Linked DNA regions of Stegostoma tigrinum. The protein of the gene in region 1 purifies or fractionates together with the protein of each later gene. This does not show direct contact. Links are inferred from orthologs where the notes say so. Each region holds a gene or a part of one and is shown on either strand. Other genes may lie near its edges. The genes, in order: nuclear factor NF-kappa-B p105 subunit-like, copb2, E3 ubiquitin-protein ligase RNF123 and NF-kappa-B inhibitor beta-like.

Region 1 (7,332 bases):
TAATTATGGCTGATGGGCATTTCAATTACACTTCCCTGTTCTCTCCCTGTAGCCCTTGATTCCTTGTGAGATCAAGAATTTTTCAATCTCTGCCTTGAAGACATTTAATGTCCCGGCCTCCACTGTACTCCGTGGCCATGAATTCCACAGGCCCACCACTCTCTGGCTGAAGAAATATCTCCTCATTTCTGTTTTAAATTTACCGCCTCTAATTCTAAGGCTGTGCCCACGGGTCCTAGTCTCCCCGCCTAGTGAAAACAACTGCACAGCATCCACCCTTTCTAAGCCATACATTATCTTGTAAATTTCTATTAGATCTCCCCTCAACCTTCTAAACTCTGATGAATACAATCCCAGGATCCTTAGCCATTCATCGTACGTTAAACCTACCATTCCAGGGATCATCCGTGTGAATCTCCGCTGGACACGCTCCAGCGCCAGTATGCCCTTCCTGAGGTGTGGGGCCCAAAATTGAACACAGTATTCTAAAAGGGGCCTAACTAGAGCTTTATAAAGTCTCAGAAACACATCACTGCTTTTATGTTCCAACCCTCTTGAGATAAACAATAACATTACATTCGCTTTCTTAATCACAGACTCTACCTGCAAGTTAACTTTTAGAGAATCCTGGACCAACACTTCCAGATCCCTCTCTACTTCTGCTTTATGAATTTTCTCACCGTTTAGAAAATAGTCCATGTCTGTATTCTTTTTTCCAAAGTGTAAAACCTCTCATTTGCTCATGTTGAATTTCATCAGACATTTCCTGGACCACTCTCCTAAATGGTCTAAATCTTTCTGCAGCCTCCCCACCTCCTCAGTACTACCTGCTTGTCCACCTATCTTTGTATCATCAGCAAACTTCACCAGAATGTCCCCAGTCCCTTCATCCAGATCATTAATATATAAAGTGAACAGCTGCGGCCCCAACACTGAACCCTGTGGGTCACCACTTGTCACCGGTTGCCATTCCGAAAAAGAGTCTTTTATCCCAATTCTCTGCCTTCTGTCAGACAGCGAATACTCAATTCAAGCCAGTAGCTCACCTCGAACACCATGGGCCCTCACCTTACTCAGCAGCCTCCCATGAGGCACCTTATCAAAGGCCTTTTGGAAGTCTGGATAGATAACATCCACTGGGTTTCTCTGGTCTCACCTACTTGTTACCTCTTCAAAGAATTCTAACAGGTTTGTCAGGCACGACCTCCCCTTACTAAATCCATGCTGACTTGTTCTAACCCGACCCTGCACTTCCAAGAATTTAGAAATCTCATCCTTAACAATGGATTCTAGAATATTACCAACTACCGAGGTTAGGCTAATTGGCCTATCAATTTCCATCTTTTGTCTTGATCCCTTCTTAAACAAGGTGGTTACAACAGCAATTTTCCAATCATCTGGGACTTTCCCAGACTCCAGTGACTTTTGAAAGATCACAATCAAAGCCTCCACTATTTCCTCAGCCACTGTCTCAGGGGGTCAGAGCTGAGGGAGGGCCGCACTATCTGAGGGTCAGTCCTGAGGGAGCGCCGCACCGTCGGAGGGTCAGTACTGAGGGAGTACCGCACTGTCAGAGAGTCAATGCTGAGGCAGTGTGGCACTGTCGGAGGGTCAGTGCTGAGGGAGTGGGCACTGTTGGAGGGTCAGTGCTGAGGGAGCACTGCACTGTCGGAGGGTCAGTGCTGAGGGGGTGCCGCACTGTCGGAGGGTCAGTGCTGAGGGAGCACCGCACTGTCAGAGGGTCAATGCTGAGGCAGTGTGGCACTATCGGAGGGTCAGTGCTGAGGGAGCACTGCATTGTCAGAGGGTCAGTGCTGAGGGAGCGGGCACTGTCGGAGGGTCAGTGCTGAGGGAGCGCTGCACTGTGTGAGGGTCAGTGCTGAAGGAGTGCCGCACTGTCGAGGGTCAGTGCTGAGGGAGCACCGCACTGTTGGAGGGTCAGTGCTGAGGGAGCACTGCACTGTCTGAGGTTCAGTTCTGAGGGAGCCCCGCACTGTCAGAGGGTCAGTGCTGAGGAAGTGCCGCACTGTTGGAGGGTCAGTGCTGAGGGAGCGCTGCACTGTGTGAGGGTCAGTGCTGAAGGAGTGCCGCACTGTCGAGGGTCAGTGCTGAGGGAGCGTCGCACTGTCGGAGGGTCAGCGCTGAGGGAGCACTGCACTGTCGGAGGGTCACTGCTGAGGGAGCCCCGCACTGTCAGAGGGTCAGTGCTGAGGAAGTGCCGCACTGTTGGAGGGTCAGTGCTGAGGGAGCACTGCACTGTCGGAGGGTCAGTGCTGAGGGAGCGTCGCACTGTCGGAGGGTCAGCGCTGAGGGAGCACTGCACTGTCGGAGGGTCACTGCTGAGGGAGCCCCGCACTGTCGGAGGGTCAGGGCTGAGGAAGTGCCGCACTGTTGGAGGGTCAGTGCTGAGGGAGCACTGCACTGTCGGAGGGTCAGTGCTGAGGGAGTGTCGCACTGTCGGAGGGTCAGCGCTGAGGGAGCACTGCACTGTCGGAGGGTCACTGCTGAGGGAGCCCTGCACTGTCACAGGGTCAGTGCTGAGGAAGTGCCGCACTGTTGGAGGGTCAGTGCTGAGGGAGTGGGGACTGTCGGAAGGTCAGTGCTGAGGGAGCGCTGCACAGTCGGAGGGTCACTGCTGAGGGAGCGCCGCATTATCTTATACAGATTGTTCCTAGTCTTGAGCTCCCCACAAATAGAAATCTCTTATTAATAGGAATATATGCAGCAAATTGGAATTCCCAAACTGGAATCAAACTTTCGTTTGTCCAAATTGTTTGTGTAAATTGTGGAAAGAATGAGCCCAATACTAGCCCTCGTACAGCACTTGCCACTAACCGCCACTGGGAAAACTATCCTTTACTCCAACTCTTTGCTTGTTGTTTAGAAACCAGCCAGCAATCCATTCGGCCCCTTGGGAATCTGCAACCCCTGTACTCCCCCGGCAACAACCTGGGAAACTGCAGCATCCTTTCTTCCCCGGGGGCAACGAGGAGAATTGCAGACACCTCCCACTGCCATTAGTCCCCTGCCTCCAGCTTCTCCCTATTGGATGGGTGCTGCCTAGTGGGTTCAGTTTCCCAGCTTGTTCCTGGATCGGAGTGGGGGTGTTGGAGTCACAGTTGAAGCTCCAAAGGTGAAGATACAGGGGACTAAAGTTCCCAAAACGGAAGTGAAGGTGAAAGGGCAGATTCCCAGGTTGTACTAGAGGTATTAAAGAGTGAAAGAAGTCCCTGTAACTGTGAGGAAGCGTGAAGGATTTGCACTCGCCCATGTTTTCCGGCGGAGTGAGGGGTTTGGGGTGTGGCGGGGGTGTACCGCCGTCTCCCCAGGGGGAGTGACAGGGCTGCAAACGCCCCCTAGATAGAGATCCCACGCGCAGGTTGTCCCAGGGTAAGAAAAGATCAAAGACCTCCTTGTTTCCCCCAGGGGGCTTGTGGGGTCTGCAGGTCCCCTCCCTTCTGCCCCCGGGTAGTGAGGGGGCTGCAGTTCCTCGCTGTTGCGATTAGGGGGAGTGAGGGGGCTGCAGTACTTCCCGATTGCCGCCAGTGGGAGTGAAGGGGATCAATGATAATGGGAACTGCAGATGCTGGAGAATCCAAGATAACAAAAGTGTGGAGCTGGATGAACACAGCAGGCCACGCAGCATCTCAGGAGCACAAAAGCTGACGTTTCGGGCCTAGACCCTTCATCATCTCTGGGGTCTAGGCCCGAAATGTCGGCTTGTATGCTCCTGAGATTCTGCTTGGCCTGCTGTGTTCATCCAGCTTCACACTTTGTTATCTGAAGGGGCTGTAGCTCCATTCGCTGCCTCCAGTGGAAGTGATGGAGCTGCAGTATCCCCTGCTGCCCCCATGAGGGCTGTGAGGGGGCTGCATTTCCCCCGGTTGCCCGCAGGAGGTCTGAAGGGGCTGTATTTCCCCCCGTTGCTCCCAGAGGGTGTGAGGGGGCTGCAGTTCCCCCCGTTGCCCCCAGGGGGTGTGAGAGGGCTGTAGTTCGCCCCCCCGTTGGCCCCAGCGGGTATGAGGGGGCTGTAGTTCGCCGCCCCCCCAGTTGTACTGTGAGGGTACTGCATTTCCCCCCGTTGCCCCCAGGGGGTGTGAGGGGGCTGCAGTTCCTCCCTTGCCCCCAGGGGGTATGAGGGGGCTGTAGTTCGACCCCCATTGCCCCCAGGGGGTGTGAGGGGGCTGTAGTTCGCCGCCCCCGTTGCCCCCAGTTGCATTGTGAGAGGACTGCAGTTTCCCCCGTTGCCCCCAGGGGGTGTGAGGGGGCTGCAGTTCCCCCCGTTGCCCCCAGGGGGTGTGAGGGGGCTGCAGTTCCCCCCCGTTGCCCCTAGGCGGGCGGGGAATTTCCAGCCGGGGAGCACTGGGCCCCGGGAAGCGGAGAGAGTTTGCCGGGTGTATGGAGTGGTGAGTGGCGGCGCGGAGCCGGTGGATTGTGAGTTGGGAATACATTGTAACTTGTGTCTGATAGCTTGTTGCTGGAAGTTGCTACTTTGTAGCTGGTGCAGGATTCGCTTTGACGGTGAGTTAAACCCAGTGAATGGTTCGCTCCTCACTCGGTCAGAGTGACTGCTCCGTTAGCCTACCCCTCTCCCTCAGTCCCAGTCCGCCTCGACATCTGCTTCAGTGCCGAGCGGCCGCCGACACCAGCGGAAGGCCCGAGTTTCCGCCTGAGGCTCTCCCTCACTTTCCTTATCCTCTGTCAATCCCTCACTCTCAATTCCTCCTCCTACTTCAATTCCCTCCCTTAATGTCTCACCCCCCCTTCTCACTGCGCTGTCGCCTTTTAAATCCCCTTTTCTCAGTGTGTGACTGTCTCTCCTTGTCTTTCAAGCGGACTCTCAGGCTGTTTAATGTGCTGATGATGAGTTATGTTGATCTTCATTCGTAAAACCATAAAAAGCAGGACCAGAAGTCGGCCACTCTGTCCATCGAGTCTAATCTGTCCTTCAGTGAGACCAGGCTGACCTGCTAATCCTCAGTTCCACTTCCTGCCTTTTCCCCATAACCCTTTGTTCTCTTAGTGATTAAAAATCTTGTCTGGCATTGCCTGAAAGTGTGGTAAAGGCAGAAACCCTCATAACATTTGACAAATATTTTGATGTGTGCTTGTGACGCCAAGATAGAGGAGGTTCTGGGCCTTGTGCAGAAAATGGGATTAAAGTAGGGTTATTTGGCCAGTAACCACTCCATGGACCAAAATGCCTTGTTTAGTTCTATAGGTCTCTCTGACGGTGTGATTGTAAGATTGCCTCACATTCTACTAAATGCTAGTGAGTACAGGCCTAACCTACTCAACCTCTTCCCCATCAGACAGTCTTCCCACACCCCATATCCGGGACCAATCAAATGAACCTTCCCTGGATTGTCTCCAATACTCTATATCTTTATACAGGCAAGGTGTCCAAAATGGTTCATTGTATTCCAGCTTTTGTAACTAACGACAAAAGGTTCAGAGAGCCGAAGGGCAGGTCAGTTATAGTTGAAAGGTGAAATCTGTAGGTCTCTTAATGTTGAGCTGAGTTAATTATTTGATCAGGGCAGTGTGAGGGGGCTGATTCTGAAAGGTATATTCTTGTTATGATGCTGTTCTTTAGTGTCTTAAAGCATGGTGATATTTCACTGTTTCATTCATCACAACCCATGTGAAGATGAAGAAGTGAAAGTGAGTGTTGGGTTAACTGTGGAGATTCTTGTTAATGCCAAATTGTGGAATAGGTAATATTTCCAAATAAATTGGTTCTAATGGTGTAATTTTTAGAAATTAGCATTTTTTGTGGATTAGTTGATGCTTGTTCAAGGATATGCTATGAATGATACTGAGGCTAATTAAAATGGTTGAGAAATAAGCACATGTACTTCAAAGTAAAACAATTGTTTATTGCAATATATAGAGAGTTTTTAGGTTGTGTAGCATCAGGCTGGTGTGTGAGAGAGAATAAGCCCTGTCTCTCAGAGTTGGTGGTCACTGGGTAAGATCGATGTCAGGCAGTACTTTGTCACTCAAAGGGAAAAAGTACCCCACAAAGAGCTGATCAAGATCAGAGTCTGTCACAAATTTCAAAACAGTGATCAATAGATATTTATTAGATAGGAGATTAAGATTATGAAACAAAGAATAAATAGTACCTTTTGTAATAAAATATCCCAAGTTCTCCTCAGGAGTATTGCAAAGCAGAATTTGACAGCTAACCACATTGGGAGGTATTAGGTTAGGTTACAGAAAACTTGGTCAAGGAGGTGGGTTTTGAGAAATATCTGGTGGAAGGTGGAAAATGAGACAGTGCTGAGAGTTTAAGGAGGGCATTCCAGAGTATATGGTCCAGACATTTGAAGGCATGGCCACCAACGCAAGAGCGTCTAAAACTGGGAATGTTCAAGAGGCTAGAATTAGAGAAATGCAGGGGGTCTGGGGTTGGAGGAGGTTACAGAGATTGGGAGGGGATGAGGCTGTTAGGTATTTGAAAACAAGAATGATATTTTAAAATAAAGAGGTTGCTTAATCTGGGGCCAGTTTGTCAGGGAGCCAAGGGGTGATAAGGAACAGGAGCCACTGAGAGTTATCACATGAACAGCAGAGTTTTGGACGGCCCCAAGGTCACAGAGGATAGAATGTGGGGACCAATGAGGAGTGTATTGGAGCAGCTAAGAAAGTCTAGAGGTGATTGTTTAAACATGAGGGATTCATGAATGATGAGCTGAGACAGGGTGAAGTTGAGGGATGTTACTGGGCTGGTAGTAAGTGGTCTTAGTAATGGTGCAAAGTAAGAGGTCAGAATCAGGATTTTATGAAAAACCACGGCTGTGACCGACTTAATCCCACAATGTTGTCAGGGTGAGAGAGGTGTTGGTGATTGGGAAACATTGTTTGGACTAGGAACTACAGCCAATGACTTCCCAATATTTAATTGAAGGGAATTTATGCTCATCCAGTTCTGGATGTTAACTCAGTAGTCTGACAGTTTAGAGAGAGTGGAAAAATTGAGAGCTGGTGATGAGGTCAAGCTGGGGTTGTCAGAGAACATAGTGAGAATGAACACTGTACTTTTACATGATGTCACTGAGCAGCAGCATGTAAATGGGAAATTGGATGAGGCCAATGATTCACCCAAAGTAGGTAAATACCAGCTTGTAAAATGGGAGCAAGAATAGGCCATTCGGCCCTTAAACCTGTTTCAGCATTCAACAAGATCATGATGGATCTGTTTGTGCTGTGAGTTTCACATTTCCCCATACCAGACATTCTTGTCAGGGAGGGGAATCAGTGTAACTCTGCATCATTGAATATTTTTAAGGCATTGCCTTCCAAAGTCAACCGTTTGAGAGAGAACAA
Region 2 (7,817 bases), on another chromosome or scaffold:
TTAGTTTGGGTGAGCACTTGTCGTAGGGCCGATGTGGGCTTGTGTGCCACTCTGATGCCCAGTGGTCAGAGAAATCTTGTGGTGTGTTCTGACATGTTCCTGATGTAGGGTAGTGTGATGGGTGTGTCAGGCCATGTAGGATCTTTCTGATGCTGTTCCTGTAGGCATCTCCTGACCCAGTCGTTTGGATATCCGTTATCTTTGAACACTTGGAAGAGGTATTCCTCCTCCTCTTAGTGTAGTTCCATGTTGCTGAAGTGTGTTGTTGCCCTTTTAAATAGTGTTCACACGCAGCTTCATTTGTGTGTGCTGGGATGGTTACTATTGAAGTTCAATACCTCTTCTGTGTGTGTGACCTTATGGTGTACTTTCGTTTGCAGTTCCCCATTTGTCTTCCTCTTTACTATGAAGTCCAGGAAGGGGAGTTGTTTGTTCTTCCCCTCCTCTCTGGTGAATTTTATTCTGGTGAGGGTGTTGTTTGTGAGTTTGTGTGTCTCTTCTAATTTGGTCCGTTTAATGATGACCAAGGTGCCGTCTATGTCATGTATCCAGAGTTTAGGTTGGATTTGTGGAATGGCAGTCCTTTCCAGTCTTTGCATCACTGCTTCTGCTATGAGTCCGGAGATAGGCAGTCCATGGAACACATTGAACTACATCCCATATACATTCCACTATGGAGGAAACCCAGAAGTGAGGCGATCCATTGCAACAGACCCCAGAGTTTAAAAACCAGGCGGCAAAACACACCGACGCTTCATCAGAGGCTGCACTGAGGATGTTACCCAGCACGGTAATGAAACATCTGCGGAACAACAAATCAGCTCAGCGAACCAACCAACCTCAACACCCACACCTACAAATCTACTCCAAAACTAAATAATGTTATTGAGGAGCTGTTTTATATTAACATAGTTGAAAATGATAACAAGCAACTAACATCTCGTCTGAAGGAATAGCAGAAACAAGGGAAAGTCTCATAAAAAGCATTACACTGATAGCTGTGACAATGGGAGGTTGTAAGGCCTTCAGTGCCCATGAATTGGCTCCATTATGGGGAATTTAATGCTCTAAGAAACTTCGAGTGCCATAGCATCCACTCTGGGGAAAACTTTGACTACAGTTTGAAAGAAACAGTTTCTTTATAATTATGGCTTTTACATTTTTCCAATCCACATCATCCACTCTTTAATTTGGTTCATTTACTTGGATGCTTGTGTGTATATGTTGCAGGTTTTAGTAATGTTTACACTTTAAACCTAAGTGTTTATTTTTAATTAACAAAGCAAACTCGTTATTTCCTTACTCAAGGGATCTGGCTGACTTGTTTCCTCATAACTTTATACATGGTTGAGGATATACTGATTTGAAAATGTGCATCATTTCAAAAAAATCCAAGATCTTTTACCAACTTCAGGCTTGAAAAGAAAAGAATTCATTCACTGGACTTGGTTGAATAATACAATTAAAAAGATTAATTCAGACTATTTCCTAACAAGGAATTGGAGGTTATCAAGACTAAGGATAAAAGTTGGAACTCACAGTGTTTATTGGCACCGTTTCACAATTGTGCCTGTGGTGTAAATACCTTTGAGACATGATTTACTGTCAGTTCAGAAGAAAGATTTTGCCTGCGCTGCTGGCACTTTAAGAAGCCTGGGCTCCTGGGGAATACAAGCTTCCACATTCTTTTTTGTTAAATATATCCGACATCTTGCTTGATGCAGACAAAATGATGAACCCTGTTCATTTGCACTTTTTTGGTTGAAATACAACTGAGGAACACAATGTGTATAATTCACATCCTGAATATTCTGCTGGTTGTTGTCACTCAACATCACCACACAATCAGTAACTTCCCTGAGTGCATTGTCTCCGTTTCCTCCAGCATGACTAGGGTGTTGCATGTTTGTCTGAGTTCGTTGCTATTCCTTCATAATTTATCACCATGCTCAGGAAATATCAGGTATTATCTGGGCTGGTGGCATGTTTGCTGTATTTCTAACCCATATTCTTTGCTCAGTTTTGACATTTCTATCACAACAAAACAAAGTTGCTGGAGAAGCTCAGTCGGTCTGGCAACATCGGTGAAGGGAAAAACAGAGTTAACGTTTGGACCCGGTGACCATTCCTCAGAACTGGGAACTCAGAACGTTAACTCTGTGTTTCCCTTCACAGATGTTGTCAGACCTGCTGACCTTCTTCAGAAACTTTACTTTTGATCTTGACTTATAGCATCCACAGTTCTTTCAGTTTTTATTTGGTATTTCTATGCCTGATAACTCATCACGTATCTCTTTCATTCTATTCTGTTTTTGAAAATAAAAATGTCTATGCCTCAAAATGCTTAGATGTTTGGTTGCTGGACAAGGCTGTTCCAATGTATCTTTGAACATAAGTTCTTCTGGGTAAGGTAAACCATTCCCCACTGATGTTTCAGGAAAATGTAGTAACACAATTCACAAATCTCTCTTTGTTGTGTGACACTTATTGATAATGGATTTGATTGTGTTCTGTTACACTGTTAGAATATGAATAATAGAGTGACAGTGTGATATGAGTCATGATCCACTTTATACATATCCCTTGATTTGTCAGGGAACGATAGTCGACAAAATAAAGAACTGTGGACGCTGGAAATCTAAAATATGAGAACAGAAAGTGCTACCAAATCTCACCAGGCCTGGCAGCACCTATGGACAGAAATCAAAGTTAACATTTCAGGTTCAATAATCCTCCTTCAGAGCTTTGAAACGTTAACTCTGATTTCTTTCTACAGATGCTGCCAAACTTGCTGAGATTTTTCAACAATTTCTGTTTTTGTAACTGCAGTCCATTGTCAGACACTATCCATTTCAAGATACAGAATAAACTGGAAGTAATGCTTAAATAAAATCAAAGACCTGTAAATGTCAGCCATCAGAAAGTATTGCTCCACGAGTCAACAGCTGTCACATTAGTTGTGTTTCTAAGGTTTCCAAATAATAGGAAATTTGGAAAAGTAGTTAGTCTGAAGAACGTGATATTCCCCATGCACTATGACCAATTCTGGTGATATTTTTGCCTAAGGAATGGATGAAAAATTGTGTGGATGTAAACATTCCTGTGCTGCTGGGGTTGATTTATTTGGCATCCCTCACATAGTCATTGAATATCCTGATTCATCACTGGCTTATATACATTAATTGGGAAGGTACGTTCAGTAGCTGTATGCCCCTGGTGTAACATGGAAGTATCTTGATGTAATGCTTTCAGAGTTAGAACCATTATGCATTTGAAATGAGTTGTTGTGATAAACCAAGTCCATCTCTATACTGTCAAAATGAACAAATCCTACCGCGCATATCTTTAACACTGTTAGCCAATCCCGCGACAACAGTGTTTTACAATATTTGTTAATTTTGACATGTCTGTTGCAGTTTCACCCTGGTCCTGGTCAAAGTGAAAGAGTTCAATCTTGAGACCACTTCAATCTCACAGTCTAAAGCATCAATGTGAAAGTCAAGAGGTATAGCTTAGTCTTTATGTGGGTTGGATAATCTGCACAGCATGTCAGACCCATAATTCACTTCAAAGTCACATCCTTACACCTTGACAAGTAGATGCTTGAATGGCTGTGGTGCACTTATTAGCAATTTTCAGCAGATCATTTACAATGGCTTATGATCTTTCAACAGTGAACTTTTTGCCAGTTAAATATGAGTGAAACCACAGAATGCCAATTAGCAGGCTTAATGTCTTATGTTCTTTATTGGAATAATTGGCTTGCAGAGATGACAGGCTTTCAGAATGAAAAACAATAGCTGTATCATCTTGCAAAAGACACATATTGAAGCCTTTGCGTGTTGTATCTTTTCATTGGGTCATTGTATTGCAATAGTAACACTTTATTGTTAGAACCTGCTTGAGAATATGGAACACATTGGTGATCATCTTTCCACAAGTGGAGCTATCTTTCTTGAACAAATCTCTTAACAGACATCATCATCAACAGCAACAAAGACAAAGTGGCTGATAAAGCTCAGCAGGTCTGGCAGCATCTGTGGAGGTGAAAACAGAGATAACGTTTCGGGTCCGGTGACCGTTCCTCAGAACAGATATATCTTGTTCACTCGGTCCGGAAAATACAGTGAAAGAAGGGTAAAGCAGGGGTTCTGTGAGAATCCAGGAATGCACAAAAAAGGGTAAGTGCCAAGAGAACAAGCAAGCAGCTCTGAAATGGTCCAGTCTGTGAACCCGGGCACCTGACCCTGCCCGCCAAGTGTCACACCCACAGTACTGCAATACTAGATGCTGGTGTGCTCCAAAGTGCAGCATGGCAATGCAGAACAATGTGTGAGTGGATTAGAGATGTGCCATAATGGTCTGGAAAGGCTGGCTAACATTGGATGTCGACACACATGAACGTCGGGTCTCAAAACGAGCGCTGTGTCCGCAGTTCCCCCAACCGGAGAAGGGTGTGTGTGTGTGTGTGTGTGTGTGTGCGCTGAGGTCCTCCAACGGCAGGAGGCGTTGTGTATTCGCAGGCCCGCGACAGGAGTGGGCGGTGTGCTGGGACCCTCCTACCACAGGGGGCGCTATGGGCCGAGGGGCGGTGTGCGCTATGTGTTGAGGACCTCCTACCGCAGGGGGCGCTGTGACCTGTGGGCCTCCTCGCGGACGGCGGTGTTGTGGGCTGGCGTCTTCCGCGCCGACGCGGGCATTGAGTGCTGAGATCCTCCTAAGCGGAGGGGGCGCACCGTTCGGAGGACCGTCTAGGGGATGGGGCGCTGCGTCTGATTGGAGCGGCGTCTCTCGCGAACGTTGCGGAAATCCCGTGTTTCGTGGCTGAGGAGGAAGCTCCACGTCAGAGGAGCCATCAGTCCGGCCGGGCCTGGGTGTGGGCGCAGGCTGAGGTGCTGCAGCGATGGTGGGTACGCGGTTGTTGACTAGCAGTGGCTGGCGAGCGGGTAGGGAGCCTGAGCCTGACTGTGGGTGCAGGAGGTTGTGGCTGCTGGAAGTCTCGTCCCTGTTATGTCAACCACAAAGTGCCCTGCCCCACAGGCCCTAAGTACAGCCGCGGAGGGTCCCCGGTGTGTGAAGGCCATCTGTATGTATATGGTGCTGATACGAGGGCCAAGCTCTAAGGCAGCGAGAGGAAGGTGTAGGCTGGAAGGGACTGCATCTGCCCGGCCTCTTGTTCTGTAGTTAAACCCAAATACTGCGGAGGCTGGGATATGAAGTTAAAAAAAACACTGGAAACAATCAGCAAGTCTGCTAGGATCTGAGGAGAGAAATCAGAACTCCTCTTATTGCTCACCGTTTTGAGGCCCGTGCTGTGAACAGGGCCGTCAGGGGTTAGTAAGTAAATTATGTTTTAATTTAGAGATAATGGGAACTGCAGATGCTGGAGATTCCAAGATAATAAAATGTGAGGCTGGATGAACACAGCAGGCCAAGCAGCATCTCAGGAGCTGCTCCTGAGATGCTGCTTGGCCTGCTGTGTTCATCCAGCCTCACATTTTACTATGTTTTAATTTAGGCGTGTTTGTATCCTATTAGACATTTAAGTCGTTATAACTTCTAGCCATTGAATCCACCGCTAGTGAGAACTGAATTCCTGAGTAGGTACATAGTTGAAGGTTTGAGGCTGTTGTAACGCAGAAATGAGGTCGAAGTGTATCTATAAACAGTGTTAAGAAGATGAATTGTCTAGGACACAACCTGTTTCTGTTGCTGTTATACCTAATGAGTTTCACCATTTTTAGGCTGGATTAACCTGCATTCAAGAATTGTAAGCTGTGGAGGAATAGACTGATTTGAACATGACTGTTGTTTACATAAAAAGTCATTAATCACTTTTTGATGTGAGATTGAAGTAGACAGATCAAGTTTTTGTTGACCACCACTCATTTCTGCTTCCACATCAAAAGTTGTGTACTTAAGATTTGTGTACTTAAAAAACAATTTTGCAAATAGTGAATTCCTGCAATGTGATGACCCTGCATGAGTTGTAAGAGAGCATTTAAATTAGGTTGATGCATACTGCCATGTGATCAGTGGGAACAGATGTGGGCCATTGGGCCCGTCAAGTTTGCTCTGCCCTTAAATGAAATGGCTGATCTGATAATCTGTCTGGTATACAAAAACAGCATTAGCTGGAGAATCTCTGTGTCTTGCAGCATCTGAGGAGAGAAAGTAGCGTCAGTGTTTTGGGTCTGGCGACCCTTCTTTGAAATGGATTTTAGCTAGGAAAAGGTTGGTATGTGCATTGAAGACAGGACTCTATTTTGAGACCTAAAGGCTACAGAGTCTCCAAACAGAAAATGAGATGCTGTTCTTCTACCTTTGCTGAGATTTGCTGGTGCAAGACAGCAGGCTGAACTCTGAAATGTCAACTGGGGAACACAGCGTGACATATTGAAGTGGTAGGCAACCTGAAGCTTGGAGTCATTTTTAGAGTCTGAACATTGTCCATGTCCGACACCACCAACCCCACTCCCTGCCCCTGCATACCAGGCTGTGTCATCACATGGGCAGCTTTCACCACAGCCAATCTTTTTTCAGGCACTAACGGTCCCCATTAGCAGCTTTTCTTTTCTCATAAAACTGAGACTTGTAGAATTGTGACAGTATGGAAACAGGCCATTCAGCGCATTAAGTCCACACTGACCCTCCAAAGAGCGTGCCATTGAGAACCCTCCCCAATCCCTTTAACCCTGCACTTACCATGTCTAATCCAGCTAGCCCACGCATCCCTGGACACTTTGGACAATTTAGCATGACCAATCCACCTAATCTGCACATCTTTGGACTGGGGAGAAGACTGGAGCACCCAGAGGAAACCCACACAGACACAGGAAGAATGTGCAAACTCCATGCACGTTCTCCTGATGCAAGAATTGAACCTGGCACTGTGAGGCAGCAGTACTCACCATTGAGCCACCATGCCACCCCTTGGCTGACCATCATCCATTCTGTTGTCTGCCCCAATGCTGCTGTTCTCTCTGGTCTCCATCTCTAGCTATTGTTTCCTTTGTTGCCTGTCAAATTGTAGAGCATTCTTGGGAAATGATTGCTGTGTTTCTGTGTCATTCCCTCTGGAGTCCTAAAGATGTGTCATTCACATTCTCATTCACGTGCTGCCTGTGACACCATTATTCAAGACTTCTCTATTGTGCTGTCAGACTGTTTATCTGACATGTAGTCTTAGGAGTTGCAATTTCTATTAATTAGACATGAGGAATATCAAATTTCTTGGCATTGATTCATGTCAAAAACTCCTTGACATTGAATTGGCGCCCTTCGCCGACTACTGTCAAATAATGAACTGGAGTGTTAAAGTTATGATACAAGTTGATTGTTAAACTTGCAAGATGTTTTTAATTTTAGTGACTATGGCATGATAAAATTCCATATCTCACGTTTTTCTTTGAGTGTATGTAGGGAATTGGAAGTAGTTGCTTAGAAATTCAAATGCCGTAGGATTGAATGGATTAATGGTGGATTTAAACCATTGTTAGTAGAAATACTGTTTTGCTGAAATGTTTATTTTGTTTTTCCCTCTCTTGAATGTAATGACTTGCTCCATATGGCTCAATAGAAGGTAATGTCCATTTGCTATCATGTGTGAGTGGCTCATTGTGTATGAATGTGCACGGGGAACGTGATCGGCTGTTGTAATGTTAAGTTTTATGAACTTGTCTGGTAACAGTCTGCCATGACAATTCTGTATAAAGATAGGAATGTTGTTTACAAATTTATGGACCTTTCATGACCACAAATTATTCTAATGTAGTTAATAGGTTAATACATCTTTAACAGAGTCTCACAAGGGCTTG
Region 3 (7,442 bases), on another chromosome or scaffold:
ACTGCCACAATGATGCCACCAAAAGGTTGCAGGAACAGCAACTCATATTCCGCCTGGGAACCCTGCAGCCATATGGTATCAATGTGGACTTCACCAGTTTCAAAATCTCCCCTTCCCCTACTGCATCCCGAAACCAGCCCAGTTCATCCCCTCCCCCCACTGCACCACACAACCAGCCCAGCTCTTCCCCCCCACCCACTGCATCCCAAAACCAGTCCAATCTGTCTCTGCCTCCCTAACCGGTTCTTCCTCTCACCCATCCCTTCCTCCCACACCAAGCCGCACCCCCAGCTACCTACTAACCTCATCCCACCTCCTTGACCTGTCCGTCTTCCCTGGACTGACCTATCCCCTCCCTACCTCCCCACCTATACTCTCTCCATCTATCTTCTTTACTCTCCATCTTCGGTCCGCCTCCCCCTCTCTCCCTATTTATTCCAGCTCCCTCTCCCCATCCCCCTCTCTGATGAAGGGTCTAGGCCCGAAACGTCGGCTTTTGTGCTCCTGAGATGCTGCTTGGCCTGCTGTGTTCATCCAGCCTCACATTTTATTATCTTAGAATACTGCTGCTCAACAGGTTCAGGAACTGCTGGACCAACAAGGTAGATGCCCAGCTCCAAGCAATGATGAAGATTACTTCTCTGGCATCGAGAGAGCTTCTGTTACTTCCTATGCTGGCACACATTGAAATCCACAATGTCTATAACAAAAATATCCTTTGTGAAGGAGAACATCACCAAATAATAAAGCACTCTACTTGACACAGTCGCACAAGTAAAATCTTCACACTTGTCTGAAATCAAGCAGTCTTGACTGGAATACCATCATACCCTGTAAAGTGGTTACAGACCTACCTCTGGTCGGCAAACCACTTGGTTAATTTCAAAGATTTCCAACTGCAACCTGGTGATGGATCCCACCTAGTGAAGTCCCAGGTTTCAACCTCTGGTCATCTAAGTCAGACCATCGCTCACAGACCGCACACCTAACATGGGAGAGCCACTCCTGATGGCATCACAACTATTCACACTGCATCAGCTGAAGCCGTTAAAAATAACATCAGAGTATACTTGCATTTCCTAGCCTTGCACAACCTTTGCACGTAGGGTGAGAGCGTTACTGTTGAGTCGGGGCTGCCACCAATTAGATTTCGGAGTGCTGAAATCCAAACATAGTTGCCAGCAACATGGGATTTCAATGGGCTTACAATTGTGGGGAATGCCACCAAGTCATCGATTAGTGAAACAGGAGACAAAAACACATTTCCCATCCAAGCAGTTTCACAGGTCACAATTCCATCCAGATACATTCAGTTGTTCAATTTGCCAATCTTTCACGTTATTTTTAAGTACTTCCCAAACAAAGTATACTTCTCTCACAAACTAAGTAGATATAGGATGTTCACACACACATCACAATTAGGATCACTCAGGCTGTCCCAACCCTTGATACCAAACATACCTGTGACCTTTGGTTTTTCTGTATCAGAGGTCAACCGATAACTTCTCCTGGAGTAGGATGTGCTGGTGCCTTTAGACGTCATTTTCCAAATTAGTGTCTCTCCAATTTGTAAAACTATGTAAAAACAAATTTAGTGGAGGAAACAGCTTCAGTATTTTCACTCCATGTTCTGAGATGGCTGCCGTTATCTATTATTCAGCGTGAGCTTAGCATGTGCCCAAGGAAGATGGTAATGTTAGTAGCAGATATAAGAAAGTTATTTCAAAGACCAACATTTGCTTGACTACTTGCACTGAAAGGCAGTGAGCTACCCAAAGGATAACTGGCCAGATAAGAACTGAAAACATAAGGCAGCAAGTGAAATCAAAGTAAACTTAAGAGCAAACTTTGAGAATTAGCCTACTGGGGAATTAGCATGAGACGAATCGTAGGAAATAGATCGCTGATTGCCTCAGTTCAATATGAAAGACACTCCAACATCAGCTGGAATTCTCTATCCGAAAGAGCTGTGGAGGATTGATTGTTAAGTACATTGAAGATGCCTACATTTTTAAAAATTCAAGGGACACAGGGACAGTAGAGAAGAATGATATTGAAAGATGTCAGCCAAGTCTGGAGGGTGTCGGTGAGATCTGGAGATCAAGTGTGAGTCACAGGGGTCAGTGTGGAAATTAGGGGGTTAGCATGGTTGGAAGGGTGGTAAATGTGGGGACTGGAAAAGTCAGCATGCATCTGGAGGGCCACTGAGTAGTGAGGTCCATGTGATTAGTTGGGGGAGGTGATGTGAGTGATCCAGGAGCCTAGGTGAGAGGGGAGTGTTGGGTGTGGGCTCAGAGTGATGCAGGAGCCTAAGTGATGGGGAGAAGAGGGTCATTGTGCTTTGGTGGGGGGCAGTGTCAGACTCGTGGAGGAGTCACAGAAAGGAGAGGGTCAGCAATTCGAGGAGATCAACTGATTGCAGAGCTTCCAGGAACGATGGTGAGGTGGGGCAGTGATTAGGGGCAAGTCAGTAATTGGGGGAGGGGGGAGTCACTGAATGGAGGGAAGTCAGTGATGGGGTCAAGAATGGAAGCAAGTCATGTGTTGGGAGAGGGGTCAGTTTTGGGGGCCAGGTCAGTGATGGGGGAGGGGTCAGTGAAAGCAGGGAAGAGTAAGTGACGGGGGTGTGGAGCGGGTGGGGTAGGAGGGTGAGTTAGTGGTTAGTGACGGTGGGGTGGGGGCAGTAAGTGACAGAGGTCGGGGTGTTGTCAGTGACGAGGGTGGGGGCGGGTCAGTGACGAGGGTGGGGGCGGGTCAGTGACGAGGGTGGGGTGGTGGGGAGGGGTCAGTGACGGGTGGGCGGGGTCAGTGACGAGGATCTCGGCCCCCCCCGACCTCTCATTCACTTTTAATCTCTCAGTTTCCCTGTCGACAGTGTTCCGGTTTCGGATGGGCCTCGGTTCCGCTGACCTGTGCTACCCAGCTTGCGCAGACCCCGGTTTCTCAGAGAAGACCCACTCTGTCCCGACTTCTCCTCACGGACCCGCTCCCGTCGCCGCCATCTTCAGTCCGGTCTAAAGCCCGCCGCACGCATGCGCTGCGCCCATAGGGCGGAGTCGGTCCCGACCCCGCCCCCAATGCCCCATCTCCAGCTTAAATACGCCTCCCCGATCATTTACCCCCAGCTTAAATACCCCGCCCCGATCAAATACCCCTCCGCTTGCTCAAAACCCTTGCCCCGCTTAAATACCCCTACCCTGATCATATATCCCCCGTTTAAATACCTCGCCCTGATCAAATACCCCACCCACCTGCTTAAATACCCCTCCCCTGCTCAAATACCCTTCTCCTGCTTAAATACACCCCCAATCAAGTGCCCTTTCCATCCACAATACACCTCCCCCTGTCTAAATTCCCATCCCCTGTTCAAATAGCCCTCTCCCTGCTCAAATACCGCTCCCATCCACAATAGCCTCCCCTGCCCAAATACCGAACCACAAATACTCATCCCCTCTATAATTCCCTTTCACAAACACTCCTATTTCAAATATTCCTCTCCCTCCCCAAATACCACTCTCCATCCACAAATACCAGACTCGCCATCCATAAATAGGCCATCCCCATCCATAAATGTCCGATCCCGAAATACCTCTCCCCATGCCTAAATATCCTTCCCAAATACCACCTCCCTAAAATTCTCTCTCCAACCCCAGACCTCCCTTTCCGAGTTCTCTTCTCCATTCCCAAATACCCCCACTCCACAAATGTCCCTCACCACCCCACCAAAGACACCTTCTCTTCCCTACCCAAATACATTGACTGTAGCAGTTGGAATATTAAATAGATTAAATTGGTAAATACATTAGGTCGTTTCCCCAGGGTAGTGGAGTACAAAACTAGAGGGCTAGGCTTAGGGAGACAGAGGGACCTATGCAGAAGGTGGTTTGTGTGTAGAATGTGCTCCAGAGGAGGTGGTGGTGGAGGCTGCTGTAATTACAACATTTAAAAGGCACCTGGATGGGTATATGAATAGAAAGGGTTTAGAGGTATACTGGCAAATGGGAATAGATTACTTTATGACATCTGGTCAGCACGGACAAGTTGGACCAAAGGGTCTGTTTCTGTGCTGTACAGCTCTATGACTCTCAAGTGCCTCCCTAGCCAAATCCACAAATACCCTCACTAGATCACCAAATATCCATCCCTCCCCAGATACCCCTTCCATTCCTTATCATTGCCCCTCCTGAAATACCACTTCACATCCCTCCCCAAGTATCCTTCCCTATGCTCCCTGCCAAATACCCATTCTATTCCCAAATACCCATTCCCATCCCCAGCCTCAAATACCCCATCCAATAACACCATTCCTAAATACCACTTTTACTAAATATACCCTCCCCAAATACCAATTCCTCATTCACAAACACCCTCTCACCAATTCATCATCCCCAGCCATATATTTCCCTTACCCAAATGCCCCACCCCATCCACAAATACACCATTCTCAAATTTCCTCCTAATTCACAAATATGCCCTGCCCATCCACAAATACACACTCCCCAAATCCCCTCCTCAATTAAACCGTCCCCAAATATTTCTCTCCATTCCCAGCTCTCTTTTTAGCTACTGCTTTCCAAATATGCATCCCCATCCTCAAATGCTGCTCCAATTCCTAAGTAATTCCATCCATAGGAATCCCTCCAGCCCATCAAAAACATCTCCCCTCCCCAAATCCTAATCTCTGTATACCACCACCCTACGCCAAACACCCCTCCCCATATATGCAAATATCCTACCCCATCCCCAAATACTATTCCCCATCCCTCGCCACTTATCCCTCCCTACCCCCAAAGTTCCCAGCCCCCTCTCCAAATGCTTTTCCCTCATCCAATTCCCAAATAGCTATTCCTCCCAACCTCATGCTACAAATACCCTTTACCTTCTCCTCCCTCTTCACAATAGCCAACTACCTCTCCACCATACCTCTTCCATCCCTGACTTCTCTTCAAGTACCCCTCCTCAATCTCCTCCTCTCCCTCTCCTCGTGTTACCTTTACTTCCCCTCCTCAAATGCCCACTTCCACTCACAAATAACCGCACCTCAGTTACCTCTCCACCAATGACCCCTGTGCATCCATAAATATGCCCTTTCCCAAATACTCCCTACTGAAATGCCCCTAAACCTTCTTCAAGTATGCTCTTCCAATTTGCCCTACCCCAAAAATCCTCTCACTATGTATAAATACTGTATGTATACCTCCTGCCCAAATACCCTGTCCACATCCACAAATATTCCCTCCTAATGACACCTAGTCTCCAGCCATGTCCCCATTTACCCCTTTCCCATCCCCAAGTAGCCTCACTCCACAAGTATCAATGTCCGCCCTACAAAGACCCTCCCCTCCCTTTCCCCTTCCCACTTCGCTCTGAAAATACCCCCTCCACAAATACCCAACTACTTCCCCACAAATGACACCTCTACTTCCCCAAACTCTATTATCCATCCCTCCTCATATATCCTTTCATATTCCCCTCCCAAAATACCATCCTAAACTCCAAATATCCTTACTCTCTCCAAATATTCTTACTCTCCCACTCCCTCTCCAAAACCTCTCTCCACAAATATCCCTCACATTTCCCTCCACCAATATCCCTTCCCTGTCCCACCAACACAACACTTTCACTCTCCACTCCCATGCCCCGCTTCCTTCTGATCCCAACATTAGCCCGTCCCTCACCTCTTTGACACACTGTCATCAAATTTCCCTTCTCTATTCTCCTCCTCTGCTTTTGTTTGTCTCTCTCTTCCCTGATCCCCCATCCATTTTCCCACACATTTTCCTTCCTCCCCGTCACCCTGAGCTGGTATATATTGGATACATGCATTTCAGGCATTATGCATTAACAGGATGATACAAATCAGCATGTGTATAGCAAACTAATATATATTGGATAGGTGTAACCTGAGAGGTGTGTATTGGCTGTATAAATTGAGTGTGTGCATATCGGGCTAATGGATATCGTGTTTCATATACGTTTGGGTATATATCAGGCAGGTGTTTATATTTTAGTATATATTGTGCATGTACGTTTATTTAAATATATCGGGCTGGCTTATATATTTTGGTGTATATTGGGTGAGCGTGTATAATTGTGTATGTGTTGGGCTGGCTTATATCTTTCAGTATATGTTAGGGAGTATATATTTAGGTTTACATCAAGTTAGTGTATATATTTGTGTATACATTGGGCAGGTGTATACATTTAAGTATATATCAGGTTTAGCTACGTATATGGGTAATATCATGTGTTTCAAATATTTCAGTATATATATTGCGTGTGCGTGTATGTTTAGGTGTATATCAAATTTCTGTATCATGCATTTTATGTATTCAGGTAAAAATTGGTCATGTTCATTTATTTAATGTATATCAGGCTGGTATATATTTATGTGGGTAAGTATCCTGCATTTTATATATCATCGTGCTTCAATGGGTTTGCACACCCAATAAACAAGCCTTGCTATCCCCAGATTTGTCACAAAGTTAAAGATTTTAGAAAGTATATAAAGGTTCTCGAATTTACCTATCTTTTAGATCTGGTTTGTCAGAAAGCACAGACCAGATTTCTGTACATAATAAGCACAACTTAAAATTCTAACTCCTAATAAATTTGCCTTACATATATGCACAAAGGTTCAGGAAAAAAAATGTCAGTGTTATGAGCAATGGAAAAATCTAGGAAAGCAGTTCAAATCTCCCTTTTCACAGGATTTGCTCATATGATTCTTGTACTGATCAGAATGCTGCTTCTTGATTTTCCTTCTGTGCAAACTTTCATTGGTCTGCAGGAGGTATATTGTGCCTGGTTCATGCTTTTTAAAAATGTATCCATCTTGCTCACTAAAAGCCACATCATACAGCAACCAGAAGGGAAAATAAACTAGTTGCTGAATGTTCATCTGCTCATTCTTTTATTTCCTTTCTTGTGAAACTTTTAAATGCTCTTATGCTACCCCTACATGATCCTTTCTTTTTCGTTTATTCATTCACGGGATGAGGGTGTCACTGATCAGGCAGCATTTATTGCCCATCCCTAATTTCCCAGAGGGCAGTTTAAAGACAACGACATTGCTGTGGGTCTGGAGTCACACGTAGGCAAGACCAGGTAAGGATGGCAGTTTCCTTCCATAAAGGACATTAATGAACCAGATGAATTTTTCCGACAATCAACAATGGGTTCAGGGTCACCATTAGATTCTTAATTCTAGATATTTTATTGAATTCAAATTCCACCATCTGCTGTGGCAAGAAATGAACCTAGGTGCCCAGAAAATGATATCTGGGTCTCTGAATTAACAGTCCAGTGATAATGCCACCAGACCATTACCTTCCCCTGTGAGTCTTGCTAGAAATATATAACCCAACACTAAGGATCCTCTGTCTCATTAAAGAACATCTCCCTCATCAGTTTTAACAGAAGCCCCAGTCTCTTGACTGTAG
Region 4 (7,613 bases), on another chromosome or scaffold:
AATGGTAAACATGAACTATCAATGCTCAACTTCCACCACGTTCGTAATAGCTGAGACCCTTATAACGAAAAAGATTTTTAAAACAGAAATACTGACTTAAAATGGCTGTTGTTGTCACCTGACTACAGATTGTGGCAAGTCCAGGGAACCCATTCAGAATACATAAAATTGGCAAAATTGAAATTCTGCTTAATCTAAAATAATTGAAATCAGACAACCGAGTTAGAGTCAAGAAGTTTGGATCTACTGTTTAATTCACACTTGAATATTACTTTTCACCATTTGAACATAAAAGTGTTCCCTGCAACTATCCAACTTAAATAAACAATGAAAGCAGACTCACAAATACACAGATAGACTCTATTTCAGGGGCTTTTGAGCAGCAAAGGAGAAGGAAATTGGATTCCGAATTGCAGAACATGGAAGGTTTGTTCTCTCTTTTGCCTCCTGCTCCCACCTCTCTCCCCAATCCTTAACATCTCTTGGGAATTTTGGAAAAACAACCATTCACTAACAATTCCAGGATTCTACAAATGGCATTATGACTGAGGAAGAAAGACAACAGTTAAACAGTCATACACTCATGTTTAACTCTTACAACCAGAGGTCCCTAAGAAATTTAAACTGCATCTGAATATCTTCCTATAGACAGTAGATACCCTCTCCATCACTCTTAAATCTATTATCTTTGTTTGAGTTTGTGTTTAATATTGCATTTTTTTTTCCTCTGGGTTTGTAGATAATAGAATGGCTCTTTATTTCACTCAAGATAATCTTGATAATTCTTCCTCCCATTTTCTAGTGAATTACATTTTAATCGGAGTGTCATGGCTGTGTGCTAAATGAAAAATGAAAGATATTTCTAGTGGCTGAATGAGATGGGCTGACAAAATGGACAGCTGTTTCCTCATCTGTTCTTAACAACAGGAACACAGGAATCAGGAGTAGGTCATTTGGCCCACTCACGCCTGCTCCAGCGTTCAGCATTGGCTGATCTGATTGTGGGCTCAACTCTGCAGTTCTATCTCCTCCCACCCTCCAATAACTTCTAACTGCCTTGTTAGTCAAAAACCTATCTACCTTTGTCTTAAATTCAATGAACCTGTATCCAACCTCTCTGCGAGAAGTGAATTCCACAGACTAATGAAACTCAGAAAATAATCCTGTTAAACTCCATCTTAAGTGCAAGATACTTACTTTAAAACTGTATCTGTTAATTTTAGTCACTCCCATTAGGACAAATATCCTTTCAGCATCCACCCAATCAAGTTCCTTCAGGATCTCACAAAGTTCAATACAATTCTCATTTCTCCAACCTTCGAGTTTGAAAATTTGAAATAATCCCAGACTCTACTCTTGAATTTGTACATGTAAATGTGGGAGTCAGCGACAGTGAGCATGGACACATTACTCAACTAGAGTAGCACTCAGTAGTGAAGCACAGTAGTGGTACTGGCCAAGCACAGTAACCCAGGTTAATGTTCTGGGGGACGCAGACTTAATCCTAAATTGGCTGATGGTGAAATTTCAACGAAAACTTTAAAAGCCAGCTGAGTGACTATCATTGTTGATTGCTGCAAAAACCCAAAAATAAAACAAAGAACTATGGATGCTGAAAATAGTCATACAACATGGAAAATGGAGGCAATGGCCTAATGGTATTATTGCCGGACTGTTAATCCAGAGGCCCAGATAACTTTCTGGGGATAACAAAGTGTGAAGCTGGATGAACACAGCAGGCCAAGCAGCATCGCAGAAGCACAACCTGGGATTGGATCCGCTACGGCAGATGGTGGAATTTAGATTCAATGAATAGTTGGAATTAAAAGTCTAATGATGACCATGAATCCATTCTCTTTGGTGGAAAACCCATCTGGTTCACTAATGTTCCTTAGGGAAGGAAACTGCCACCCTTACCTGAGATAACGAGGTGCAGAGCTGTGTGAACACAGCAGGCTAAGAAGCATCATAGGATCAGGAAGGCTGATGTTTTGGGCCTAGACCCTTCATCAGAAATGGTGGAGGGGAAGGAGGTTCTGAAATAAATAGGGAGAGAGGGGGAAGTGGATAGAAGATTGATAGAGAAGAAGTTGCAGTGGGAGAGAGATCCCCTGAGGTTTGTCCGGAGGGAGGAGGATAACTTCTTCAGGGTAGGCATCCTTTGAAGAGGCTTCACAGTGGGGTTAAAATTGTATCAGAGGTAACAGGAACTGCAGATGCTGGAGAATCTGAGATAACAAGGTGTGGTTAAAATTGTATCGAGATAATAGGAACTGCCAATGTTTCTCCAGCATCTGGTTATTATCTCTGCTATCCTTACCTGGTTTGGCCTGCATGTGATCCAGACCCACAGCAATGTGGTTGACTCTTAACAGCCCTCTAGGCAATTAGGAATGGACAATAAATGCTGCCTAGTCAGCAACTCCCTCATCCCGCAAATCAATAAAGGTTAAAAAAAAGACCTTCGGTCCAATTAGTCCATGCCACCATAATGCCAACAAACCAACTATACATCCAACAAGATCCCTCCAAACATTTCTTATTCATGTACTTATTCCTTTTAAACATTGTAACTGTACCCACATCCAACACTTCCTCTGGAGGTTAATTCCACACACAAAATACTCACTGGTTTAAAAAGATTGGCTCTCATGTCTTTTTAAGATCTTTTTCCTCTCACCTTAAAAGACCCTAGTCTTGAAATCCCCATCCTTAAGAAAAAAGACACCTGCCATCCACTTTAGCTCATGATATTATAAACCTCTATACGGTCATCCTTCACGTCCAGTAAAGTCTCAGCCTGTGGTATCACAAATAAACTGCTGAAGGAGACTCACTGGACTGTAAACATTAAGTCCGCTTTCTCTCCACAGATGTGGAGGAATGGAATTGTGGGAGATATAACAGTTTGGATCAGAAATTGGCTTGCTGAAAGAAGACAGAGGGTGGTAGTTGATGGGAAATGTTCATCCTGGAGACCAGTTACTAGTGGTGTACCGCAAGGGTCAGTGTTGGGTCCACTGCTGTTTGTCATTTTTATAAATGACCTGGATGAGGGCATAGAAGGATGGGTTAGTAAATTTGCAGACAACACTAAGGTCGGTGGAGTTGTGGATAGTGACGAAGGATGCTGTAGGTTGCAGAGAGACATAGATAAGCTGCAGAGCTGGGCTGAGAGGTGGCAAATGGAGTTTAATGCAGACAAGTGTGAGGTGATGCACTTTGGTAGGAGTAACCGGAAGGCAAAGTACAGGGCTAATGGTAAGATTCTTAGCAGTGTAGATGAGCAGAGAGATCTCAGTGTCCATGTACACAGATCCTTGAAAGTTGCCACCCAGGTTGACAGGGCTGTTAAGAAGGCATACAGTGTTTTAGCTTTTATTAATAGAGGGATCGAGTTCCAGAACCAAGAGGTTATGCTGCAGCTGTACAAAACTCTGGTGCAGCTGCACTTGGAGTATTGCGTACAGTTCTGGTCGCCGCATTATAAGAAGGATGTGGAAGCTTTGGAAAGGGTGCAGAGGAGATTTACTAGGATGTTGCTTGGTATGGAGGGAAGGTCTTACGAGGAAAGGCTGAGTAACTTGAGGCTGTTTTCATTAGAGAGAAGAAGGTTGAGAGGTGACTTAATTGAAACATATAAAATAATCAGAGGGTTAGATAGGGAGAGCCTTTTTTCTAGGATGGTGACGGTGAGCACGAGGGGGCATAGCTTTAAATTGAGGGGTGAAAGATATAGGACAGATGTCAGAGGTAGTTTCTTTACTCAGAGAGTAGTAAGGGAATGGAACGGTTTGGCTGCAACAGTAGTAGATTTGCCAACTTTAGGTACATTTAAGTCGTCATTGGATAAGCATATGGACGTACATGGAATAGTGTAGGTTAGATGGGCTTGAGATCGGTATGACAGGTTGGCACAACATTGAGGGCCGAAGGGCCTGTACTGTGCTGTAATGTTCTATGTTCTATGCTACCAGACCTGCAGAGTTTCTCCAGCAATTTCTGTCTGTTGCTGGATAAAATTCCATCTGTCTTTTAGGGAAGGAAATCTCTTGTCCTTAACCGATCTGGCCTGTTTTCATGATTCCATACCCACAGCAATGGGGGCTGTCTCTTAACCTTCTCTACAACGGCTTTATAAAGCCAGTCCATTCCAGGGGCAATTAGGGATGGGCAATGACCGCTGCCATCAGCGAATAACAGAAGCAAAACACTGTCCCTCTCTCCACAGACACTGCCAGATCCGCTGAGTTTCTCCAACACTTTCTTTCCAGATCCTCAGCCTGAAACTTGCTCAAGTTGTTGTTGTCCTTGATAACGAACAACAGTCCTGATGAAGAGTCCAGATCTGAAACGTTGACTTTCCCACCCCTCTAATACTACCTGACTTGCTGGGCTCCCCCCGCCACCCACTCCGTTGCCTCTGACTGCCAGCACTGCAGTCTTTAAAGACTTGCTATCGCCAGGACTACAACTACCACAGGCCATTGCGGCGGGGGCAGCGTCTGCGCATGGGCAACGTCGTCTCCCTCACAGGGACCTGCCAGGAAAGCGCAATTCGATTGGTCCCTGGCCTAGCGGGGGAAATTCCCACCAGACAAAAGGGTAAACAAGGCGTCGGCCATTTTTGGTGAGGCGTCCGTTTCATCTCCGTGTCTTTCTTTCACTTTCCCGTTAAAGCTGCTGCTCCGCGGCGAGAGGGATGGCGGTTTTACCTCATAGATTTCGCTGATGAGTCGACTGGCGTCCTTTAGAATCGTGTTCAAGAGCGATTTTCATTATCACGTCGGGAGTCCAGAGAAAAAAACATGGAGGTTGTCCCGCAGCTGTCAAATGGCAACTCATCCAAACAGACGATCAAGCTGGGCACTGGTAAAGTGGCCGCGCCGTGGGGTGGCCAGGCCAAGTTGGACAGCCTGGGGCTACCCGCTGAGGTAGAGGGCGATGACTACTACGACAGTGGCATTGGCTCCCTCAGTGAGCTGCAGGTCAGCCAGTTCAGTGAGTTGGGTGGCGTTGACCAGAGTGTTGATGGTGGGGAGGGCAAGGATGGCATGTCCATGGGCACTGAGCCAGACATTTGCTTATCCACCCAGCGGTGGGCAGAGAGTGGCGTTAGCCAGATCACCCAGGGCATCGAGGATGTGAAACTGAGTGGCACCGGTCAGATCACCCAGGGAATGGAGCTGGGAAGTTCCCAAGAAGCAGTGAATGAGTTGAAGGAATTGCGCCACTACCGAACCGAAGACTTGGACTCGTGAGTATCGCTTGCATGAGGGGGTAATAAAGTGTCAACTGTGGGTGGGCATGGGGGTATGGGTTTACTTGGTTCCATCATTCCCAAGTACCAGATGCAGAAATACACCTTCAGCCCATGTGCTGGTATGCCCAGTACCAGCAACAATCCATTGTCAACTTTCAGATGAGGTCATTAAACCTGACTGGTGAATACAAAAAAAAAATTCTGGCACTATTTCAAAGACGTGTCTCTTAATCAGAAGATGGTGCGTTTAAGCCTCACTCCAAAGACTTGAGCGCAAGAATCAAGTCTGACATTCCCATTGCAGTACTGAGAGGGCATTGCTGTGTCAAAGGTGTATCATTTTTTGGATGAGATGCTAACTCAAGGATTTTATGGAGCTATTTGGAGGAAGAACATGAAGTGTCCTCTGTAGTGACCTAGTCAACTTTACTTCCTCTGCCAATGTTGCCACCAAGGGAAAAGATCATCTGGCCATTGTTTATTTTGTGGGATCTTGCTGTGTGTAAAACACCTGCTGCATTGACCTCTATTATACAGTGACTACCCTTTGAAAGTTTCCACGCAGTTCTTTGAAATCTGAGGTGATGAAAGAAGTTGAAGTTGCTTAATTCCCCTCTCAATATATTCCTGGAGGCAGTCCTATCTCTAACACCTAACCCAAATAGAATTTTTAGTTTCTGATGTACAATATCTTTATGTACAATTTAGTATTCAAAGGAAGATTTTTTTTTTAAAAGACAGAATTATTATTAAACAGATTGCAGCAGTTCAAGGAGGCAGCTCCAACACCATGTTCTCAATGGTAACTAGATATGGGCAATAAATGCTGGCCAGCCAGCAATGCCCACATTGCTGTGACTGAATAAAAAGCATTTTAAAAATTATTATGTGATGTGGTGACTGTCTTTTCTTTCATCTGTGACCTGGGTTTGAATTAATCGCTGTTGGTGAAAGTGATCCTATGTGAAATGTGGCAGTCTCAGTTTAACATTCTCCTAGGTCCACAGCACCAGACTTCCCTTTGATGAAAGTCTCATTTGTTGAGGCTGCAAATTGACTCTCTCAGAAATGTCACTCTCATGCAGTTGGAAATGGTTTTGGGACTCAGACATGTTTCTGGGCAGAGTAGAGGAGCTTGCATTTGTATTTTCTGGGAATAGTTAAAACTCATTTTGACTGCACAAATTTACTGGAATTTAAACATCCCTTGTCTTGAGGAGTGCCACATTCACATTAAATCAGTTTTAAAACAGAATACTGCAGAGATTCACATAATCTGATATACAGAAAACCCTGCTCTGAAATCACTCTTCCATTAGCAGCCATGACCCTAATCTCTGGAATTTCCTCTCTAAACCTCTCCATTACTCTACTTCTGTTTCCTTTTTTTTTAAAAGCATCTCTTTAAAACATAGATCTTTGCCTGAGCTTTTTTTCCAAATATTGCCTTGTTTAGCTCGATGAGGAATTTGCCTTTTGATTATCAAGGCAGCTGTTTTTGGTCAAGTTTTGCAAGGTGATAAGGTAACAAAATAAAGAACAGACTTGTATTTATGTAGCAACTTCTCATGTCCTCAAGCATCCCATCAAAATGCTCGGCTCGTAGATTATATTTAAAGTGTTATATTGACAAAATGGCAGGACGTTTCTGCAAAAAGCACTGATTGGTGATCTCCAAGTGATGTGCAAATACCACCTTAGACATAATTAGCCTCCCCGCTGAACTTTGAAATTTAAGATTACATATATACTTATGTTTCTTATATGTATAGCACCTTTCATGGCCATGGGAAATCATAAAGTGTTTTATAATCAATTAAGTGCGTTGTGACATGTATTATCTGTCATATTGTAGGAAAGATTGCACTAATTCGCACACTGCAAGCTCCCACAAACAACAGAGATGATGACTTCATTATATGCTATAGTGACATTTGTGGAAGGCAACATATTAGGACATTGAAATGAACTCAATAAAAACCAAAAGAACTGAAGATGCTGCAAATCAGGAATGTAGATAGAATTTGCTGGAAAAGCTCAGCAGGTCTGGCAGCATCTGTGAAGAAAAAAAATCAGAATTAATGTTCCAGGTCCAGTGACTTCCTCAGAACTGTTCTGAGATAGGATCATTGGACCTGAAATGTTAACTCTGACTTTTTCTTTGCAGATGCTGCCAGACCTGCTGAGCTTTTTCAGCAAATTCTGTTTTTGTCACTGAAATAAACTCGCCTGTGCTTCTTCAAAGTAGTTACCTGGATCTTGTACGTGCTCACTGTTGGGGAAGCAGTTAGGGACTTGGTATAATATTTTATCATAAAGATGTAATCTCTGGAGTTGAACCCCTCAGCCC

What was found.
Region 2: the proteins of nuclear factor NF-kappa-B p105 subunit-like (region 1) and copb2 purify together in Homo sapiens (affinity purification with mass spectrometry; 5 studies listed by BioGRID and IntAct, with this or other methods). This does not show direct contact. The link is inferred for Stegostoma tigrinum from reciprocal best matches to the Homo sapiens genes NFKB1 and COPB2.
Region 3: the proteins of nuclear factor NF-kappa-B p105 subunit-like (region 1) and E3 ubiquitin-protein ligase RNF123 purify together in Homo sapiens (affinity purification with western blotting; 4 studies listed by BioGRID). This does not show direct contact. The link is inferred for Stegostoma tigrinum from reciprocal best matches to the Homo sapiens genes NFKB1 and RNF123.
Region 4: the proteins of nuclear factor NF-kappa-B p105 subunit-like (region 1) and NF-kappa-B inhibitor beta-like purify together in Homo sapiens (affinity purification with mass spectrometry; 7 studies listed by BioGRID and IntAct, counting the BioPlex papers as one, with this or other methods). This does not show direct contact. The link is inferred for Stegostoma tigrinum from reciprocal best matches to the Homo sapiens genes NFKB1 and NFKBIB.

What each region holds. Positions count from the first base shown.
Region 1 is NC_081354.1:1,700,468-1,707,799, reverse strand, and holds the start of nuclear factor NF-kappa-B p105 subunit-like, read left to right. Parts: upstream 1-4,289; 5' UTR 4,290-4,406; exon of another isoform or gene 4,407-4,521; intron 4,522-7,332.
Region 2 is NC_081367.1:20,776,399-20,784,215, forward strand, and holds the start of copb2 (coatomer subunit beta'), read left to right. Parts: upstream 1-4,773; 5' UTR 4,774-4,903; coding exon 4,904-4,906; intron 4,907-7,817. UniProt on the Homo sapiens protein: The coatomer is a cytosolic protein complex that binds to dilysine motifs and reversibly associates with Golgi non-clathrin-coated vesicles, which further mediate biosynthetic protein transport from the ER, via the Golgi up to the trans Golgi network.
Region 3 is NC_081364.1:65,894,515-65,901,956, forward strand, and holds the start of E3 ubiquitin-protein ligase RNF123, read right to left. Parts: upstream 3,027-7,442; 5' UTR 2,911-3,026; intron 1,576-2,910; 5' UTR 1,544-1,575; coding exon 1,462-1,543; intron 1-1,461. UniProt on the Homo sapiens protein: Catalytic subunit of the KPC complex that acts as E3 ubiquitin-protein ligase. Promotes the ubiquitination and proteasome-mediated degradation of CDKN1B which is the cyclin-dependent kinase inhibitor at the G0-G1 transition of the cell cycle.
Region 4 is NC_081392.1:14,791,967-14,799,579, forward strand, and holds the start of NF-kappa-B inhibitor beta-like, read left to right. Parts: upstream 1-4,587; 5' UTR 4,588-4,808; coding exon 4,809-5,257; intron 5,258-7,613. UniProt on the Homo sapiens protein: Inhibits NF-kappa-B by complexing with and trapping it in the cytoplasm.